4 linked regions of the Yarrowia lipolytica genome follow. The protein of the gene in region 4 interacts with the protein of the main gene of each other region in a pairwise test. Links are inferred from orthologs where the notes say so. Each region holds a gene or a part of one and is shown on either strand. Other genes may lie near its edges. The genes, in order: YALI1_C30514g, YALI1_B22820g, YALI1_B07094g and YALI1_F06797g.

Region 1 (5,426 bases), on a different chromosome or scaffold from region 4:
GCAGAGCGAAAGAAGTTTCTGGAGAGTCCCGAAGAGCCCAGCGGAGACACTCCCGAGGTTCTCAACGGGAGTAATCTGTATCCAGTTCCTGATTCTGATTCTCTGGTGGACGGAGCGGATGGTGCGGACAGTGGAACACTTCCAGGACCGCATTCGGGAGGATACCAACACTGGGTTGATGGACCCCCACTGGAATCCACATTTGGAGAGCCCATGGATGTCACGTCTGGCTATGTTAAGGACGCTATATTTGATGTTCCGACGGAAGGCGTGAATGACCCCAACGGTGGCTTTCAGACCGAGGTGGAGCCCGTCGTACCCGGCGATGTGGTTCTCGACCCAGAAGCTACTCCTCCTGCTCAGCTTACTCCTGATGCCGATACCGAGGGCGATTCTGACATGTACCATAGCGACAACGAGTTGCCTGTGGTCCCAGAAGACCCTATCTACCAGCCTCCTCATTACTACGAGCCCAAAATTGTAGTTGGAGGTGAAGAAGATGGTACCGAGCCTGTCGATGAGCCCGAGCCTGTCGATGAGCCAGAACCTTCCTCAGGGCCCATTTCTGAACCCATTCACGAGTGGCAGCCCGAGGAGCCTCTTCCCAGTGAAGACGGTAATTGGCCTTTTGAGGAAGAGTATCATTACGAGGATCCTGTCCATGAGAAACCCCATTATGAAGAGAATAACGGAGAGCACCGTGAGGACCACAGTGACGCAAGCCAGGAGCTGCTCGGAGTTGATGAGGAACTGCACCATGGAGACGACGAGGGAGATGAAGAGCACGAAGAGCATCAAGAGGATCACCAGGAGCTCCATCAGGAGCACAGCGAGAGCCACCATGGTGGGGAGGAGCATGTTCTTATCAACGATGGGACCCTCAATCTTAATAATGAGGTCAACGAGCACCATCATGAACACAATTTGGAGTATCACGAAGAGTACCACATCCCCGAGCCTCACCAGGAACCTTCTCTTCATGAACCCGAGCCAGAGTATCACCATGACTCTGAGCCCGACTACCATGAGCCCGACTACCATGAGCCCGACTACCATGAGCCCGACTACAACCATGAACCAAAGCACGAAGAGAACTTTGAAACTTCCGACTACCACGAGTTCCCTCCTGCCGGGGATGAGTATTACGATGAGGGCCCAGCACCTTTGACCGAGGGGGTTTACGAGGGTGAAGTTGAGGAAGGATCTGGTGCTGATAACTTTGAGGGTGCTTCTCTTGCTGAAAAGCTCAAGCAACTGTATCCCAATGGCGAGGCTCCCCGTATGGTGAACCAGGATCCCGATGGAAACCCTGCTTACGATTTTGATGGCTATGATACTGACAGTGCGGATGTGTATCCTGGTGGGGAGACGCCCTACGGTTCGTATTTCGGCGATGCGTTTGGGTTTTCGTCCGATGCTCCTCGGTTGAAGCCTCTGATTGCCACTCTTACCCTTGGTCTTGTTGTGGTAGCTCTTTTCAACCGGGACCTGGCCCCCACTATTTGTTTCGTCCTTAGCTCATTGTCTTTTGGGTTGTACATTTACAACTATGAGCTTCGTCTTTAGGGGTGCTATGCTATAGTGAATGTGTATGTAGATATATGGGTGGTGTACTGTAGTGTAGTTACCGTAACGAGTAGTTACCGTGACTATTTATTGTCTTCATCAATGCTGCTTTTGTGAGTGTCATTACTTGTACTAGCATGTAGTGGTTGTACTGGGTTTACTTCTTCTCCTTGGTCTCGTTGATCCACTTGAGAGTGACGTCAACGGCCTGGGGGAGATCGAGCTGGGGTTCGTAGCCAAGGTACTTTCGGGCCTTGGAGATGTCGTAGTATCTTGGTGACGAGCAGATTCGGACCTTGAAAGGCGAGAAGTTGGGCACAACTCCAAAGGGCTTGCAGAGCCCTGCGACGATAGAAGACAGGAAGAGAGCCACGGGGGTGCTCAGTTTGGTCCGCTTGGCCAGGTCGACCTCGTAGCCAGACTTCTTCCAGATCATTCGGGGCATGGCCCAGAAGTAGATGGGGGTTCCGTTGGTGATGAAGAAGGCCTCTCCGGCCACGTTGGCGGCGTGCTTGGAGTCTAGTAGCTTCTCGGCAGCCAGCACGTGGGAGTATGCCACGTTTCCGACGTAGGTGTAGTCGAAGAGGTTGTCGTCGTTACCGAGCTGGAAGTTTTGTTTTCCGGTAGCGGCAGCATCGAGGAAGCCGGGGATCATCTGTCGGTCACCGGGTCCGAAAATACCAGCGGGTCGCAGGGCGACAGTCAGGAAACCGCTCTCGGGGTCGTTTGCGCCCAGAATCATCTTCTCGGCCACCGCCTTGGTGTCGGCGTAGTCGTCCTTGTGGTCGTCCAGCACGGGGAAGGTTTCGTCGGCGTTGATGAGAGGAGAACCGTCGGAGACAGCCGAGGCAGAGGAGGTGTAGATGAAGGCCCGGCCAATCTTGCCCTTGGACTCGTCGAATCGCTGTCGAGTAGCTTCCAGAAGCACCTTGTTTCCCTGCACGTTCACCTTCTCGTAGATGGCCTTTCCGAGTCCGTGGACTGGGGAGGCGCAGGTGACAATGGCATCGGGTTTGGCGGCGTCGATTGCTCGCAGAACGTCGTCGCGGTTCGTCAGATCGCCCTGGTGGAACACAATGTCCTTTTCTGTATCGTAGGAGAAAAACGTCTGGGACACGGGCTGCACGGGTCTGATGTCAAACACGTGGATTTCAGGCCGCGGAGACAGCTCGTGGAACTTTTGGATGAGATGCTGGCCGAGAAATCCCGAACCTCCGACGATCAGTACCGTGTTCATGATGTTAGCGAATGTGGTAAGATGGTGTGTTGGGCGTGTCAGGGATGGTGATTGAGTTTATGCAGTGTACAGTATGTACAGTACTCAGGACCAAGAGCGGAACCTGGGGAATGTAGAGAGCGGGAGTAGACTAGGGCGCGTGTGTTTAGAAGAGTCACGTGACACAAATTATGCATATTTTTTGAAGGATATATTTGAACATCTAGCTGGGAAGGAGGGGTGTGTGAGGGGGGGGGGAGGGGGAGGATTATGGTGGAGGGAGGCAAGGGTTAGTTGAACTTAGTTAAGAAAGAATGTTTAGTTGGGACATTAGTTGACCTTTGGAGAGAGTAGTAGGTGTACTCAAACTTGGTGAATATCGCCCCGATTTTGCGGGTTAAAATTGGAAGCTGTTAAACTAGTCAACGTATTATTATTTCTTCTGTTACTTTTGTTTTAGCAGGTCAGAAACCCCCAGTAGAAGAGACGTTCCAAGATGGGCTTGTCTGAAAAGTCTACGGGAGACCCCTCCATCGTAAGTGGAGCAGCTACTTGTACAAGCAGTCAATTGCCTCAAGTGAAACGAACTTGACTGGAAAGAACTCAACTGAATTACGCGACCAAGAAAATATCTCCTTTTGCGCCGTTTATCGAGGGCTGAAACAGCTTCAGAACTGCATCTGAGGTACACCTTCAGTGTTTCTGCCCTTCATAGAGTATCGTCAACTTGGTGGATATTGCTTCGATTTTAACCAAATCAGCTCGTAGAGAATCTGCGTTTCGGTCACATCAACTGCCATCAACAAACTGGCAGCCTTGTGGCCTCCAAAGCGCACTTTTCACCGTCCATATCCGTCTCGATTTCTGGCTAAAAATAAACTCAGGACAGAGTTCGATAATCAGTCTGCCAACATGCACCAGTGCTGCCATATAACAGTGACCTGTGTTGTCATCACTCTACACCACTCCACATCTCTCTCATTTTCGCGACAATGAAACTTGCACTGCTCTCGCTGATAGGCACGGCTCTGGCGACTCCAGCGGTGATGCTGTCGCACAAGGAGCTGACGGCTTTCGAAAAATACACCAACAAACAGACATCCAACAGCATATCGGCAGTGGAGCTGGATCGAGTGGCGCGGAAACTGATGCACGACTGCTCGGCCAACACCTACGTGGTGGTGAACCAGCCGGGACTCAAGGCCAAGGATTTCCAGACGGAGTCGGCGTTTCCGTTTCTCAAAAAGCTCCTGGAACGAACCTCCACCATGTACACAGTGCCCTATGCTGATGGAGGCATTGAGCTGGGCAAGCTGGCCAACTCTGTGGCCAAGCAGTGCGGCGCGGTCAAAATCGACGTCAATCTCGACAACAACATCACTCCTCTGGAGGAGTACATGGATACCACCAAGCGAGTAATCGAGATCAACTTTGAGCCCCTGCCAAACACATATGTCTCTCGACTGGCTGCTCTGGCCGCCAATGACGAGATGCTGGAGAAGATTGTGCGAGCAACGCCCTCGCCGTTCATTGCGCTCATTTTGACCTCGCAAAAGGGCGAGGAGGGAGACTTTGAAACCAGAAACCCCGACTTCAAAATCTTTCCAGGCGTGGCTCGAGCCAAGACTGTGCCTGGAGCGAAGGACAAGTACAAGTACCACATGGAGCTGCAAAATGTGCCTGTGGACGAGAAAAAGCTCACTGCCGAGGCGCTCTTGAAGGTCAAGACTCCCCCCACACATGCTCCTGAGGTGCGCCAGACGGGAGACGGAGAGCTGGTCGACGACAAGCTGCTGCTGATGATTGTGGGGTCGGTTGTTGCCATCCTCCTTTCGCTACTTGTCTTCAACGGTCTTATGGCGGCCAAACCTGACGTGGTGAAGGTGGACAAGACTGACGCAAAGGTGGAGAAGGCCGTGAAGAAAGAGGTTCAAAAGAAGGAGCGACTAGTGAATGGACGAGTCGAGCAGCTGAAGCGTGAGACTAGATAGCGCGATGGATGGAGCCATGGATGCTGACGGTATATAGATTCAATCGAACGGTGACATGGAAGAAAGGTGGCCAGCAGAGTAAAATAAACACAAATATTGTGGGATATTGTGCAGGCGAAAGCGCTCAAGAAAAACGGAAAGGAATGGCGTAATCACCAATGCCTGTTGGCGTCAATTTCAGAGCCCCATTCAAAATAAACCGCTCCCAAGTACGTTTTCTTAAGAATCATTTCATCCCAACTAAACAACCCAAACTCTACACATTGTTAGTAATCTCAACAGCCATACAAGGTCCCTCCAAGAGGATCAAAATGACCCAGAAATACGCAAAAGTTGCATATTCACAAATATACACTTTGATAAGACCACAATGATCAACGTTTAGGCAAAAACATTTCAGTACAGCCCTCCATCTACCACTCTCTCAGACTCTACCCTTACCCTAACCTAAATAAGCATTACTTGGTAATTACTCAACTCTTAACAAAAACGCACTTTCACCGTAGACATGGCCATCTGAGCCGCCCCCGCCATGTCAGTACTTTGCGCCTGTCGCCACCGTCTCCGCGTCTCTGCATTGTGAAATCAACCTCCGTGAAGTCGTGATACTCGCGATACACGTCTTTTACAACCTTGTTCCTGGGTCGTGTGCC
Region 2 (5,675 bases), on a different chromosome or scaffold from region 4:
CTCATCAAACACCTGGAATGTGTCTGTGGGAAAGGGTAGTCGGTCGCCAATGTCTGCGTCACCACTCAACACCGAGTTGATGTGACGGGTGAACTCTTCTCGCTCCTCCTGGTTGATGGTGTGTTGGGTACCAGAGGCAGTTCCTCCAACCACAATTCGGCTGGTGTTGGCTCGTCCAGGCGAAGCAGGGGCCTGTCGCACACTAGGATTGGATCCCTTACCTTCCTTAATCTTGGCCAGCAGCTCCACGTAGTCATCCATCTCCACTCGACCCGACGAGTCCACGATGTTCTCTCGAACAGCTTCTCGGATTTCGTCGTAGGTGGCTCGTCCAGAGGCGGCCACAGCCTTGATCACCTCATTCTTGTCAATGTATCCCTTCTCATCGACATCCAGTTGCCTGTGTTAGTCACTTTTCCATCCATCATTGATATTTCGCATGTTGCGGCTTTATACTCACTGGAAAGAGTCGCAAAGACCAAAAATGTCCTCCTGGGTGAGAACTGGGAATTTTTTCTGGGTTAGTAGGAGGTCAATGGGTATAGGATCCGTCGTGTACTCACCTGTAACTTGATGGCGTTCATGTTGCAAAGATGTTCTTTTTGCGCACAATAACTCGTACCGATGTACCAGGTATTAAACTGTAGTATAAGAACGTCTCTGGTTTCGGAGATACCACAGTGGGCATATGCAACTGCATCAACTCTAGTGAAGTGGCAAAGGCTAATTTGGGGGCTGGTTGGGGGTTACCCGGCCAGGGAATAGAACAATGTAGGTGGTCATATGGGGCGGAGGCAGTGTAGAGGGCTGTGCACCAGTTGCGGTGGCGGATTTATTTTTAGAAATCTGCTGTGGAGTAAGCGTGTCATGTGACCTATTCATACTGGTGACGTGACAACCGAGTCTCTACAAGTACACGACAAATCATTTTCTTAGTGGCCCCTCTCATAATTTTGATTTTGATTTTGATTCGCAACATTCTGGCTTTTAGGGTCAGAAGATTGAGCGGGGCAACTTTTGTTAAAGGTAATACCCCTCAGATTAAGAGCTAGACGATTAAGACAGAGATAGCAGAGAATTGTATCAGTGGGAGGCAGTGAACAAAATCTCAGCTGGTTTGAAACAGCGAAATATTGTTTTTCGAAGGAGATTTTCCTATATATCGCCAAAACCTTATATCCGGATGGAGTTACTTGTATCCGCCATTTAGCCGGAGTGGCAAGGCGGTGGGGCGCTCAAAAGTAGGTAGTATTGAAACCAAAGTCGATCGAGTATGCAGATAGAGTATCGAGATTGCCTTCAGTATGTCTTATTTTCCTAGGCAATTGTCAATGGGCACAATAGAACGTCTGACGCGAATGCGACATGACGTATATAAATGAGGTTATACGAGCAGCCACAAGAAAGATCGCTTATATGTACTATAGTGCAACACTGATGGCAGGGTCATCAGGTGGAGGGTGGGTTTGGCAAAATATATTGATTGAGGTAAGATGGTCACGTGAGTGTGGTTTACAGATGTGTAGGTGCGAATGAGAGATGGGCCTGACTGGTTGTATACTGACAAGATACACATATATGTTCAATTACTGTATGGTGCGCAACGATATGTCAATACACAAGTTTCACTGACACTGGCAAGTCCGCAGATGACGAGACTGGTATGGCTGTCGTACTGTAGTCATAGATGGCCACCTGTTAAGTATGTACAGTGGCCAATTGCTGAGTTAAAGGACTGTAGCCACCTTGTTCTACTTGAAGTAAAGGACAGTATGATACTTGCAGAGTAGTCATGACCTCTAAAAACAATTCACTGTGGAAATACCTAATCACGCGTAGCTTCCACTTGTATGACAGTTGTCATCATTGTCCATTGTCCAATGTGTTAATTTCGGTGTTACCAAGTTTTGTATAGACTGAAATGTAAGCGATGGCTACACTGGGATACTCTCTCAAGCTTCGACACCTTCACTGTCTCGAAGCAAGTCATGCTCAGATTAAGGCAGCTGACAGTCTCCAACCAGCAGTCTATTAAGCTAGCTCCACTGCCTCATCAACTTTTACTCCATTCAATTGGCTTAGTTAATCTGATCCTTCAACTTCTCTCTCCACTCTCCCACACCCTTATCAATGTATGCTCCGACTTCTTCGCTTCCCTCATATTGCAGCTTTGTAGCGTCCATCATCTCCGTACCCCATCTTCCTGTTCTCGAGCCCAAACGATACTCTCGCTTAAGAGCTGAAGGGTCCTCGCTCAAGGTCACCCACACAGGCACGTTGGCTCCCTTATAAGGGTCAATGTTCATGGTGGTCAGTCCAATGAGCCGGGCAAAGTAGAACATGAGATACATGCCGAAGGCAGAGAAGATGTTGAGGTACTCGGAGGCCGAGGAGGAGGTGAAGATACCGGGGTCGGTCAGGTACGAGTAGATACCATGCTCCTCTTCCAGTTTCGGCGAGTAGTAGTTGTGGGCCACGTCAATAAGACGCTTCGAGCCCTTGTATGGCTCCTTGTTGTGAATCAGCTCAATGTCTTCCAGATCCACGTACTTTTCAGAAGACGTGATGGAACTGATCCAGATGACCTTTCCGCCGTTCTTGAGCTGCTCGGTGAGCTCCAGCACCATGTACCATGGTCCAAACACGTTGGATTGGTACGCAGAGCCCATACCGTCGTCGGACTTGACTCCCACAGCCTGGATCATGCAACTGGGATTCTCGATTTCGCTCTTGAATTGCGTGGTGAATCGCCACATGGCCAGAGGCCAGTTGATTCCAATGTAGTTGGCTGCGTTGGAGTTGAAGATGAGAGTGTCGATTCGAGAGAACCGCAGCTTGAGCTCCACCAGAGCGCCGTTGATAGACGTCATGTCTGCCAGATCAAACAGAAGGTAGTCAAAGTCGACCTCGGGACCGACCTCCTTGGCTACGGCATGTGCCTTGAGGGTCTTGATGGCGACACGGACGTTTCGAAGGGTTCGCGAAGTGACCACAATAGTGAGATGGGCGTCTTCTTTTTTCTCGTCGATCAGACGCTTACCAATAGCAATGCCAAGGTTGGATGACGCGCCTGTGATCACAACCGTCTGCGTTTTTCTGTTGTGGATCATGGCTTGTAAGTTACGTCGTGTTGTGCACAGGAAAGTCGGTTGATATCGTCAGTCTTGACAATGCATGCAGGGGATCTATGGGAATACATTGGAGAGTGATTACTGAACAAGAACCGGTCAGAATTTAATGCTGAAAACGTATTTTTCACCAAAATCTCGTTATGATTACAACTACAAGAAAATATATCTGTCAACTAGGGCTCAACACCCCGAATATCGCCCTGTTGACGATCGCTTACATCTGCAGACATCTGGTTAGAGTTACACTATAGTGTACGATGCATACGAACAATGCGACCAGTGCGAGTGATAATAGATGAAGCCGGGAGTTGAAGATTACAGTATGTAAAGAATTGAAGTCATAAGTTGTTGGTATGAATGAGGAGCACCTTGTTAATATATAATCGCCCATATTGGACTAAGGAGTGTGATGAAGCTTCACCAAGAGAGAAGGACGAGAGTATTCTACTTGACTAAGGCAAACTGCAAGCCCTACCGCTGATATATATATGTAGCTATAAAAACAAAAACAAAAACAAAACTTAACACTCTATAGATATCAACAGCCATTGTATCAGTTTCTGGATATCACAAATATATCTCACGAAGGCATGTCTACACATGTTTAACTCAACTTGCTGGTTTCAATCATCTTTTCTTATATGCTTAGGGCTCTGCAGTCCGTGTCTACAAAGGAATACCATCATACTCGCCGTAACCCATGGCCAGGTTAATGTTCTGCAGACACTGGGTGGCGGCTCCCTTGAGCAGGTTGTCAATGTTGCCGACAACAACCACTCGGTCCTCCTTAGAAGAAACGCCAAAGCCTCCGATAGAGACGTGGTGCTTCTCAGAAATGTGTCGCACCTCGGGGGCCTCACCGGTCACCTGAACCAGCTTCTCGCCGGCGTATCGATCCTGGTAAATGTTTCGAATATCTCGAGAGGTCAGAGGCTTAGCCAGGGGGATGGAAACAGTGAGGGAGATGCCTTGGAACCATGAGGCAACGTGGGGGACAAAGGCAACGGGAGTGCCGAGCTGCGAAGACACCTCTCGTTCATGAATGTGGTCAGTCAGAGAGTAGGGGATCAGGTTATCTCGCAGGTTGTCAATGTCGTTTCGAGGAGAAGGCTTGGTGCCGGCTCCAGAGTAGCCAGAAACACCAAAGATGGTGGGCTGGCCACCAAGGTAAGGTAGAAGAGGAGCGATGGCCAGCTGGGAACCAGTAGCGTAGCATCCGGGGTTAGAGATCTTCTTGGCGTTGACAATGGCCTGTCGATCAACCAGCTCAGGCAGACCGTAGGTCCAATCACCGGTAGTGTCAAATCGGTAATCAGCAGACAGGTCGATCATGATAGACTTGTTTCGGACTCCCTCAATGGCGTCGACAAAAGGCTTGCAGACTCCGTTGGGCAGAGCCATGACCCAGACGTCAACTGCACCCTTCTCCTCCAGACGAACGATATCCTCAACCTGCAGGTTGCAGTACTTCATCTGGGCCTTCTTGTAACCCTCGAGGGGCTTACCGTCGAGCTCTCGAGAAGAAATGTGAGACAGCTCGAGATGAGGGTGGTTGTCGATCAGATCAATGAGGGCCTTGCCGGTGTATCCTCGAGCACCAATCAGAGCAACCTTGGCTGGCTTGGTGTTGGTGCCCTTCTCAATAGGGGGGTTGGGGTTGGTGGTGAAGTGTCGGGTCTTAGGGGTCAGAGACGAATGGATAGTGGGTCGGAAGTATCGACCGACACCGGGGGCACCTGTCTTTCGACCGTTACCAAGGCCGGTGCCGGTGTGCATGGATCGCACACCAGTGAAGGCCTCGGCCTTGGCGTTAGCAACAAACGAGGCAATGAGCTTGGACACCTCGTCGGCCTCAAATCCGTACCAGAACAGGACCTGGCCGTTCTTGGCAAATGATCCGTCGGCCTTGTCAAAATGCCACGAGGTGTTTTCGTCCTCCTCGGGGACAGTCCACCACATCTTGTTGTGGTCCTTCTTGATGGCGGTCCACACATTATCGGTGACCGAGTTGAGCCAGCCGTTCTTGGAGGCCAGGAGCTTATCGAGATAAGCTCCGTGGGGGGACTCTCGGACAATGGCAAGCACCTCCAAAGGCTCATCTCCGTAGGCCTTGAAGGGAGATGTCTCAAGCTCTCGCAAGTAAGAAGCAACAGAGACCTTGTTGGAAGCAATATCCTTGTCTCGAGACAGAGCGGCTCGAAGGGCATCAGTCGAGGCAAACTGGTTAAGGTTGTCTCGGGTGACAAGCTTATAACCTCGTCGGATCAGGGTTCCGGCTCCAGAGTCGGTGAAGAGCTCCTTCTGCAGAGACTCGACGGAAATGATAGCGACGGAGGAAGATCGGGGAAGGAAGTCCAGCAGCTCCTTGATTTCCTTGATCTTGAGCTTGGTGCCGTACTTGACCCAGGGCTCCTTGAGAAGGTCCTCGTACTCCTCGTCAAGGTTGATGATGGAGATCTTCTCGCCGGTAGTACCGTTGTGGAGACCGCCCTTCTCGTTGAGGTAGACAATCTTGAGAGGCTCAATCACTCGGGAGAGCTCGCC
Region 3 (5,885 bases), on a different chromosome or scaffold from region 4:
GAGGCATCAAGCGGCAGGATTCTGGTATTGGTACTGACTTCCAATTTCGATTCACGTATTTCCGTGAAGATCTTGAGGCGACCATTCATTCGCAGAGCATTTCGGGATTGGTCAAGGGTGGCCAATCGTTTGCGGACCTGTTTCCTGAACGTGTTGAGGTGGAGGGCAGTGACAAGCACGAAAAGTTCATTCCCACTGAACGAAACTCAGTACCGACAAGAGCATCTACGCCAACTCCTGGAGACAGAAGTGGAAACGAAGGTAGATCATCTTCCAAAGACGCACCTCGGGATTTGGTACTTTCGAAAGTCCAGAGTCAGCACACAGGTTCAAGTGGAGACAGGGAGAGGGGAAACAGTGTCGGTGACCGAGGAGAAAAGACACCCCGAGATCACAACGGTAGCATTAGTGGTCAGAGCTCCCACACAACTACGGGACCTGCCGCGCATGCCACTCCTGAGCCCTCCGATACTCCCTTCTGGCTGGATGTGCTCAACCCCACTGAGGAAGAGATGAAGGTCTTGTCGAAGGCATTCGGTATCCATCCACTCACAACCGAGGATATTTTCTTGGGTGAAACTCGCGAGAAGGTGGAGCTCTTCAGAAACTACTATCTCATTTGTTTCCGATCGTTTGATGTTTTGCGAACTAAGAAGAAAGGTAGCAGCATCTCATCGAAGGCGTCGAAGAAACGGGCCCACAAGCACAATCGACAGCTCAAACCTCTGAATATGTATATCATCGTGTTCCACTTTGGTGTGCTGACGTTCCATTTTCTGCCTACAGTTCATCCCGTTAATGTGCGTCGACGTGCACGGCTCCTGCGTGATTACCTCACTGTTTCCTCAGACTGGATTTCGTATGCCATTATCGATGACATCACGGATGCCTTCCAGCCCATGATCGATTCGATCCAGGAAGAAGTGGATGATATTGAAAACGATATTCTCAAACTCCATGCAGGTGCGGATTCTTCCGATGATGAGGAGACTGAATTCTACACCTACGAAGATGAGCTTGACAGGCGACAGAGGCGTGGGTTCGGTGGTATCGCCGACGACTTGCGTTCTCTCTCTTCCATGTCATCCACGACCACAACCTCTACCATTCGACTGAAAAATAAGGGTGATAATCTGTACCGAATTGGAGAGACCCGAAAGAAGGTCATGTCCTTGTCTCGGCTTCTTGGAAACAAAGCTGATGTGATCAAGGGCTTCGCGAAGCGGTGCAATGAGCAATGGCAGGTTGCACCCCGAAGTGAAATCGGCCTTTATCTGGGCGATATTCAGGACCATATCGTGACTATGGTTCAGTCTGTCAACCATTTCGAAAAGATTCTTGCTCGAGCGCATTCCAACTGTCTGGCCCAAGTCAATATCGATATGACGAAGATCAACAACGATACAAACGATGTACTGGGTAAGATTACTGTCCTCGGTACTATTGTGCTTCCGATGAACATTGTCACCGGTCTATGGGGTATGAACGTCATTGTTCCTGGACAAGAACATAAAGGCACCGTTTGGTTCTGGGGAATCACGGCATCGCTGTTTTTCTTTGCTATCGCCTCCTACTGGGGGGCCAAGAGAGTTTATGGGGTCTAAACTAACAAAAGCCGAATATAGAAAGGAGAAGACGGGGGTTTGTTTTATAGTCAATGTCAAAATTAATGTAACTGCAGGTTCAATTACTCGTTTATTATTAATATAGTCCGAAGGTATTATTTTACATATAATCTAGTTACGCTCTCGCTTGCTCCACACAATATAGGAGGGATGGACAGGAAGCGTGATCATGGAAGTGGTGTCAACAGCAGGAAGCTTTGAGCCCTCAGGGACGGTCCACTTGAAGTTTTGAATGTAGCAAGACATGAGGGTGGTGAGCTGGCAGTTGGCGAACTGCTCGCCAATGCATCGGTGTCGGCCACCTCCAAAGGGAAGGTAAGGGGAGGAGACACCCTTGGAGATGGCACCAAATCCGTAATCGACAGTCTCGCCGGCCTCAGCGTCGGTCTCGGACTCGGCCATCTTCTCTGTAGGAGTCATCCATCGACGAGGATCGAACTTCTTGGCATTGGGGAAGTATCGCTCGGCCTGCTGTGAGTAACCAGGGGAGGCCATGACAAAGTGGCCCTTGGGCACGACAAACGAGGTACCGGGGACAGGCAGATCTCGCATGACCTGTCGGAAGATAGAATGGATGGGCATATGCAGACGAAGCGTCTCCTTGATGGTATTCTGCAGCTTGGTCATAGTCAGAATGTCCTCGTATGTAGGCTGTCGGAATGATCCGTCAGCCTCACCAAGAATATCAACTTGCTCCTGGTAGAGTTCATCCTGGATAGCAGGGTCGAGACCAAGTCGGAGAAGCATCCAAGCAGAAGTTGAAGCAGAGGTATGCTGACCGCCCATTAGAACGCCGATAAGGAGGTGGGCAATTTCCTGGGGAGTCATTCGCTTACCATCCTTGTAAGTATGGTTTTTGAGCAGAGCGTCGATGAGGTCACGGTCCTGGACGTCCTTCTCCATTCGTCGTCTTTGAATGACAGACATGTATGTATCACGAATCTTTTGCTGGGCGAGGTCACGCTTTCGATAAGAGGGCAGAGGAAGGTTGGGGAAAACGAAATTAATAGGAGTGAAGCCGTTATCAAGATCGGAGTAAAGCTTGGCAAAGTCACCGTTAAGCTTGGATCGGATCTCGTCACCTAGCAGACACCGAGAGGCAGTGAAGATGGTCATCTGAGGCTGAGTGGTCATGACATCTGCCTTACCGGTCTTACCCTCAAAGTTAACTGCAAAAAAGTTGGTGACTTCCTCAACGATCTTGGGAACGTAGGATCGAAAGGCATCACGAGTGAGGGCACCCTTGCAAAACTTCTTCTGCTCCATAAGTCGAGAGTTGGGGCAGTCATAAATAACACCGGTGCCGAAAACAGGGGTGGTGAGGTGAGTGTAAGCCTCCTCCGCAGACACGTCTGCAAGCTTGGAGTTGAAGACAAACTCGTGGCCCTTAGTGCCCAGAGACACGGTCATGACACGACCAAGCATGTAGAAGGAAAACACGTCACCATAACGGTTTCGGCAGTCCTCGAAGAACTCGTAGGGATCGATACCATAGGGGATAGATGATCCAACCCAGGGGATCCAGTAGAAGGCCATAGGGGCCAGAGTCTTGTTTCGTCGAGCCAGAAGTTGTGACCCAATAACGTAGATCTCTGTGATGACAGCAAGGATGGCCAGGCCAGCAAGAATGTGCCAGCCTTCCACGGGAATTCCCATGTTGTTGAGCGTCGTGAGAATGATCATGTTGTGGTGGACTTGAGTGAGAGACCAGTTGTAGATGTTGAGAGCACCAGACAAGATGAAGTAGAAATGGAAGGATAAATTAAACTCTTCTGGAACCTCGTCCACAATCACGAAACCTTATTTTCTTCCAAACCTGCTCGCTAATGTCGTATGTATCGTGTCTAAATGTAACGGTCCAATTACATGGACGATAATGCCAGGGATAGGGGTAATAAGAAATAAAAGTAACGGGCTCGGAAAATATGTACTTGGACCACTGTGAGAATCCTGAGGATGCAGCAGTCCTGATCCAGTGGATTTTGTTATTTTATATAGGCCGATGGCTGGCTCGGGGTATCCTTCATGGATCCCCCTGCTATGATTATGCAAGGTATGACACCACCTTTCAAATGGAGAAATCATCACGTCATGGAATGTGTGTAAGGGGCCAAAGTTAGCTTCTGTACCAAGAGAGATGCAGTGGTACTATATCATGTCCACTCATCGTACCACAATAAGACAGTACAGTAATCACTGCCTGTGCACAGCCTGCAATTTAGCCTAACATGCAAAAACGATGGTGCTTGTCATACGCGGCTATGCTGGAAATTTGATATCGCACGAAGACACCACGTGGTACACGATAGCTACAACTACAAGTAGTCTTGATTTAAGAATGAGCTCGCCAACCCTTACGGGTGTACTTGCACTTGTACTTGTAGAAACAATGGTTGTAGACTTCTGATGTTATTGCGTATGTAAACTTTTTTTTCTGCATATACATTCATTTAATTATAACTTTGCTGTGAAAGAATAACCTTTGAAATGAATGTACGCTTACACGAATATTACTAATAAAACAAACACAAGGTTACTTGGGATGGAAATGCTCGCTTAGTAAATCCACAATGAACTGTATCGAGCTTGCTAACTACTGACGCGTACAAGTATCGCAACAAAGATTACGGAGACACTCCGATTATCCGATCCGAGATTTGCCAGTGCATATGATTACTAATAAAGATGATTTTTAAGGCGTACTGATCTACAAGTACAGTATGTACTTGTAGTAACTTGTTTGATTCGTCGAAGTTAAGATTTAGTACCTCTCTGTACATCTTTTAGTATCTCTATAGTATATCATACTTACCTTCCCTCCTCATTAATAAAGCCACTTATGGGATTAATTCACTTTCTACTTGTGGGTTAGTTACAATTTCAGTCGTCTTCTTCGGCACTCTACAAGTAGTACTATTGCGGCAATTAAATCTCCTAAATGCTGTACCATACTACTTGTAGACTTCAAACATCGATCAGCTGAATTGCTTACATGTACAAGTAGCTACTGTACACGGTACTTGTAACATGTTCGCAGGTGTTGTTTCCAAACACACTACAGTATCATTGACACAAGTTAAGATTCTGTTTTGGTATTAAGTCGGTGTAGTGAGCAACCTTTACTTTTCAGGGTCAACGCTCTCATGACAGATTGCCCTAACCCTTGAGAGCTTGGTTGCCATTCCATAATCTAATCCCAGTGACCTTTATTGAGACCATGGCCTATTATAAAGATGGAAAGTGTCCAGGAAGAGAATATTTGAAGCTTCGGAAGATGATGACAGACCAGGGTATTTGAAATTACCGTATCAGGATGTTGGGTCAAACCTAACCGCTGTTTCCCGATTTAACACTCCCTAATTAGGGTCTCTCTACCCACCACCCCACATCTGATACATATGGCACTTGCATAATCTAATTGTGCCACTTACACTACACTCGCCACTCACCATGAAACTCTCAACAATCGCTATTTCTGCCATTCTGGGCTCTGTGGCCCTCGCAGCTCCTGCTCAGGAGGAGCTTCGGTCTACTGCTATGCTGATTCAGCAGTCCGAGGAGTTTCAGCGTCTCAACTATGACGAAGGCCTTCTTTCCCTGCCCGACCGAGATGAATTGCGACTTGTGGAGACCGCCCCAGGTGTCAGAACCTGGATGACCGAGGCTGAGAAGCTGGTTCTCAAGCGACAGGGTGTCCGGTTCTTTGATGTGACTGGAGAGGACCAGATTCGAGCATCCGAAGAAGTTCCCCCCGTTAACGTTACCTTCCCCGACTCTCCCCAGTACAAGGACAAGGTTGCTCTTCTGCTTGACGAAATCAACACAGATAACATGCGCAGCAACCTTGCCGAGTTCACTGACTTCTTTACCCGATACTACAAGTCGCAGACCGGGCGTGAGTCCGCCAAGTGGCTGTACAAGCAGGTTAACCAGCTGGCTCACGGATACAAGGGTGGCAACAAGAAGCCCACTGTGGAGTACTTTGCGCATCCTTGGGGCCAGCCTAGTATTATTGCACGACTAAAGGGCTCTAAAAACCCTGATACTATTGTTGTCGTGGGTGCGCATCAGGACTCTACCAATCTCATTGCTCCTTCTTTGTTTGCTGCGCCCGGTGCAGATGACGACGGATCTGGAACTGTTACCATTCTCGAGTCTTTCCGAGTTCTCATGGAGTCCGGTTTTGAGCCCGAGAACACAGTCGAGTTCCACTGGTACTCTGCCGAGGAGGGCGGCCTACTCGGCTCTCAGGAGGTCTAC
Region 4 (4,878 bases):
AGAGCCCGGTTCAAACGAGCCCACGTTCTGCATTCCCAAAAGTAGATCGATGGCAGTGTGTTTCCGCTTGTCAGACACTTGTTTCTTCAGATCCTCGTATCCAGGCGTATTCTGGACCATGATGATGGCCTTGAGAGCCTCGGCAGTACAGTCGGAGACCGGATACCCCTGGGTCTTGGTACTAAAGGGCCATCCTCCGACGCGGTCGTCTCGATAGGAATTTTCCTCCGTCGGCTCGTTGATCTGGGACCGATCGAGAAAATCAAACGCCGCTCGGATCGTCTTCTGGTACTGGGGAAGTTCGGCAAAGCCACAAACACACGCGTATTGCACGGCAAACGCAGTATCCCAGACCTGGAGACCGTTGGTGCCGTTCATAAACATTCCCGACGGATTCAGAGACAGAAATTCGGGCCATCGGGCCGCAATCTTTTTGTAATTCGCCGAATCGGGCCCCTCATGGAGATACATGACAATGGAGGTCATGGCATTGTTGACGGGAGCGAGACACAAGTGTCGTGTGTTGGAAACCTCTCGAAGGCACAAGTTGTAAATTTCCTCCTTGACCTTTTCTTTGATCCACTGCGGTCTGAACTTGCGGTATCGTCGGAGAAGCGCGTTGCCAAACTTCAAAAGGCCGGTGTGGGGATAGTAGAGGTCGACTCCGGAGATGGAGTTGCAATGTTTGGAGAAATCAATCTCCGAGTAGGGCTTTTTGTAGATTTCGTCTCGGAGCTCCTCCAGCAACGGAGTGAGTTCGCATTGGGCCTCCGCAGCCTCCAGATAGCCCATGGCAAGGTAGATCCACCGGGTATGGACCCACCATCGGCCCGGATGAACAGGAACAAAGTAGGGCAACAGCCAGAGCTCGCCAGGGGCCGGATTCACACCCTCCCATTTGTAGAGATTGAGAATCGACAGCCAGGTCTTGCCCCAATGGGGGTTGTTGATGGCGCCGCCAAACTTGGTGAGCAGCGTTTTGCGCGCCTTGACGCAGACCGGATGGTCCCGTGACAGGCCCAGTAGTCGCAGGACCACGTAGTTGATGCTGGTACCGAAGCAGGTGCTCTTGTCTTCTTTGTGAAGGCCCCAGCCTCCGTCAACTGGGTGGGCTGTGTTGACAATGTATCTGATCATTTCGGTTTTGACCGGCGTGGGGATCTCGTTGCCGCCAAAGTAGCACGCCGTCACATAGCCGATGCTCATGAACTGCGGTCCGTCGTATTCGCTCTGCCACGCGCCGGAGTCGGGGTCTTGCAGCGACGCAAACAGATGCCAGTTTTTGAGAGCCGCTTCGTAGGCATTTTTCACGGGCTTGGAGTCCAGAGTCACGGGCGCGTATCCCGGCAGCTCCAGCGAGTATTTGACGTAGTCGGTAGCCCTCTTTTCCAGCTCTTCCAGCGGTGTGGTATCGTCATACTTCCACCATTGCGCCCCCAGATCGGACGCGTGGAACGTCCATCGTCGCAGATCCGTCTTAGGTAAGCCGTATCGGTCGCTGCGGTACTTGGAATGTCCGTTTTTCGCAAACTGTTTCGACACACTTTCGTGGATTCCCATGGCGGAGTGAAGTGGTGAAGTGGTGAAGTGGTGGAGTGGTGCTATATACTGGGCAACTAAGCTAATTCACATGAACATTTGAAGTGTGGATAAAAAGACGAATAATGACACCAGAAAGAATCCGAGTAGTGCATTAGATTCATAACAAAAATACGAGTAAAAAGATATAAAATACTCCCTTAATCGTCCTCTTATTCCTGAAATGACAGACTCTCTACTCCTCGCTCATATCGCATCAAATACGAGACATGCGACAACTAAGACAGGGTGCGACTTGTCGCTAGTTTAAGTTTCGAAGAGGTGATTTGGTACAAAGATGAATGTGGATTATTGGAGTAAGTACCGAAAAATGGAGCCGGAAGTCAGGGGAGTCCACAGGTATAGTTGGTTCATCAATGAGATCGCTATAGGGTCTGTTTGGTAGACATTTAGGAGCCTAATCAGTTGACATTGACTCAAGTAAATGATAGAGTTTGTCAAGTAGTTACTGGAGAGGAGCGTTACTATTTAAATAAATTTCAAAAAAATCAAAAAATCAAAAAATCAAAATATAATATTTTTAAAAAATAAAAAAAATAAAAAATATATATATAAAAAGAGTGTGTTTTATTCAAATAATGGGCTCAAAAATAATCCAAAATAGTCCAAAAAATGGCAAGATCGATTCCTGGTCTCCACCCAATCAAACCATTCAAACACCAACTAAAATCCCCTTGTACAATCCCGTCATATATTTACATATTTTCATGTCAAAATAAACTCTCGGAACGGCTCCAACCTCCACATTCCGGATTACGTAATCTTACAAAGTAAAAACTCGACCTGCAATCGACCACTAATCAACGACTAATCACCCAATTCAGCTAAAACTCGGAAAATTAACTACCAGTCACTTGACCATCTTCCTGTCCAAAAATCCGTCCGATTGTGACGATTTTGCCCTTTCTACGATCGTCCCACGTTCCCTCGCGCATATCATTCACCTCTGACAAGTACTGCTCTCGTACTCGTACTGTTCGACTCTCTAACACCCACAAAACGCCCACATGTCGCTCCTGCCCCAGATCCCTGGTCTCCTGCCCTGGTGGCAGCTCATTGTGTCCATCACAGCCACCCTCAACTCCGCCCAGGCCTACACGGGCACCCATGCGACCGCCAGAGTATACTCGAACGACACCAACAAGGAGGTGACGCGACTCCAGGCACGGACGTTTGGCACCTGGACCTTTCTGTCGGCTATCATTCGGTTCTATGGCGCCTACTATCTGACCGACAAGCACGTCTACGACCTCACTCTGGCCTCTTATCTCGTGGCGTTTGGACACTTCATGTCGGAGTTCCTCATCTTCAAGACCGTCAAGTTGAGCGGCCCCTCCATTGCTCCCATGATTGTGTCCACCACCAGTATTGTCTGGATGGTCTTGCAGAGAGATTGGTATCTTAGTTGAGAGTCTGGATATGTTGATCGAGTGCCGCTTGCGCTGTACTGAGGTCACGTTTCGGCCTGAATCATTGGTGCGAACCAGCCAGCAATGGCTCCAGTATCACTTGGACGCGGTCTCTTTGATCTACACACTCAACGCTCACCGTCTGGTCTATACACTCAACGCCACACCGTAATGAATAAAATCAGCTGTTACTTGATCGTCCGTTACTTTGTCGACCACCCATCTTCGGCAATGAAGGTCAGATTCGCAAAAAAGATGTACAATTCAACTCCCACGAGTCCCACGAGTGTACCAGATGTACTCTCATTTCTCTAGCATCAATATTGACCTAGTAGCGACGGTTCAGACCACTTCCAGCTGTGATGGATCACAGAAAAGGTGGAAACCCGTTCAATGCCGGCAGAGATGGGTACAGATGAGTACCGCTATGAAGCTAACAAGGCCGCCATTCGAACCATGTTACTCTCGTCGCTCTAGCTCCAGTACTTGGAAAGTTGTGGGAGATGCAAAAGTGGCACAAGCTACAGTCGTTGGCTTAAACAGGCACAGTTGGATTTTCCGTGTAATTACTTAAGAGTATTATTTTCTCCAAAAAAAACTCATCTAGTTACACACCTAATGACCAAAACAGTCCCGAAACGAGACACCAAACGACGCCAAACGACACCAAACGACGCCAAACGACGCCAAACGACGCCAAAAAGGTAACACCGACGTCGAATGATACCATTGGATAACGGAAAGGCCATCCGAGTGTTTTTCAGCGGACAGATCAGAGAGTCAGAGTGAAAGTAGCAGCAATAGTAACAACGACAACGACAACGACACCACTCACCCAGAGTCCTTGAACGAGAGAGACCAGCTCACGGCTTTGTGCCTGTCGCATTCAGACAAAGTCCAGAATCAATGCCGTTGGCTGGGTAGGTGCCTGAAAGCATTGGTCTGGTCCTTTGCCTGAGGATGTGGTTGTGGCCAGACCCATGCTCGAAAGCGAAGCTGGCAAAACGACAAATCCTTAGCTCTGGCTCACTCTCTTCGCATGAGAAGTCTGCGTTACCCCAAAGACATTCCTTACCCACGAAAAGATACACCAACTCTGACGAGGAAAGCTCGAAGGTCCCCTGGAAGCCTACAAATCGGTCTTGACTTATCAGGATGCGATAGGATACCCTGTCGAAGTGTCATGCTCGGTTTCACACTGACCTGGAGACGACACGCAACTAACCATGTAGCCAAGTCACCAGATTATGACCAATAAAGCCGGCAGAAAGTGATGCCATGGATGATTGATAGGGACTTGAAACTGGCCGATGAGAAATGGGACGGTGTTTGAAAGTGTTGTTGTCGATGTGACGCTGACTACTTGGACCCCAACGGAATCGGTTCCGTCTTCCACCAGCATGTACCGGTGACGAGTGCGGTTTATCTTGGATATAGCCAGTTTTACACCGTGAGCCGTCCCTACAAGTACCTTACAGTACCGTACTCCAATCAATGTATAACTTACTTATATATCCATCCAAAATACAGACCTTTATGAATCAATAGTCTGGCCAACGGAAGGACTCATCCTACACGCGACAGGCGGTCCATAACAGGTGGTCACAACAGGTAGACCGTAATAGATGGCCCACAACAGGTGCGGCTCGCACTGTCCCACTACTTTGTGGGGTCATTTTCCTTCAAATGATCCAAGACAGGACCCAGCAGTCTCTGAAATCCATCCTTACCAAGAGTAGCGACCTTGAGCTTGGTCTTGGCAGTCACGGTGGCCTGTCGAGGCAGATCGTTCAACAGAGCTACCTCTCCAAAGTAGTCACCCTGCTTAAGAGTAGCCACCACGCCAGACTCGCCCTTCTTAGTCACCTCA

Evidence for each region.
Region 1: the proteins of YALI1_F06797g (region 4) and YALI1_C30514g interact in binary tests that used the Saccharomyces cerevisiae proteins (3 or more experiments, as listed by UniProt). The link is inferred for Yarrowia lipolytica from reciprocal best matches to the Saccharomyces cerevisiae genes ERG28 and ERG26.
Region 2: the proteins of YALI1_F06797g (region 4) and YALI1_B22820g interact in binary tests that used the Saccharomyces cerevisiae proteins (3 or more experiments, as listed by UniProt). The link is inferred for Yarrowia lipolytica from reciprocal best matches to the Saccharomyces cerevisiae genes ERG28 and ERG27.
Region 3: the proteins of YALI1_F06797g (region 4) and YALI1_B07094g interact in a two-hybrid assay, tested with the Saccharomyces cerevisiae proteins (2 studies listed by BioGRID, with this or other methods). The link is inferred for Yarrowia lipolytica from reciprocal best matches to the Saccharomyces cerevisiae genes ERG28 and ERG11.

Annotation. Positions count from the first base shown.
Region 1 is NC_090772.1:3,048,652-3,054,077, forward strand, and holds YALI1_C30514g (uncharacterized protein), read right to left. Parts: upstream 2,804-5,426; coding exon 1,724-2,803; downstream 1-1,723. Other genes in the region: YALI1_C30474g (uncharacterized protein), read left to right, coding at 1-1,566; YALI1_C30524g (uncharacterized protein), read left to right, coding at 3,775-4,773. UniProt on the Saccharomyces cerevisiae protein: Sterol-4-alpha-carboxylate 3-dehydrogenase; part of the third module of ergosterol biosynthesis pathway that includes the late steps of the pathway.
Region 2 is NC_090771.1:2,278,962-2,284,636, forward strand, and holds YALI1_B22820g (uncharacterized protein), read right to left. Parts: upstream 3,111-5,675; coding exon 2,079-3,110; downstream 1-2,078. Other genes in the region: YALI1_B22793g (uncharacterized protein), read right to left, coding at 1-400, 461-516, 564-584; YALI1_B22853g (uncharacterized protein), read right to left, coding at 3,798-5,675. UniProt on the Saccharomyces cerevisiae protein: 3-keto-steroid reductase; part of the third module of ergosterol biosynthesis pathway that includes the late steps of the pathway. ERG27 is a catalytic component of the C-4 demethylation complex that catalyze the reduction of the keto group on the C-3.
Region 3 is NC_090771.1:706,869-712,753, reverse strand, and holds YALI1_B07094g (uncharacterized protein), read right to left. Parts: upstream 3,309-5,885; coding exon 1,737-3,308; downstream 1-1,736. Other genes in the region: YALI1_B07134g (uncharacterized protein), read left to right, coding at 1-1,604; YALI1_B07076g (uncharacterized protein), read left to right, coding at 5,076-5,885. UniProt on the Saccharomyces cerevisiae protein: Sterol 14alpha-demethylase that plays a critical role in the third module of ergosterol biosynthesis pathway, being ergosterol the major sterol component in fungal membranes that participates in a variety of functions.
Region 4 is NC_090775.1:677,180-682,057, forward strand, and holds YALI1_F06797g (uncharacterized protein), read left to right. Parts: upstream 1-2,606; coding exon 2,607-3,008; downstream 3,009-4,878. Other genes in the region: YALI1_F06787g (uncharacterized protein), read right to left, coding at 1-1,560; YALI1_F06830g (uncharacterized protein), read right to left, coding at 4,668-4,878. UniProt on the Saccharomyces cerevisiae protein: Part of the third module of ergosterol biosynthesis pathway that includes the late steps of the pathway.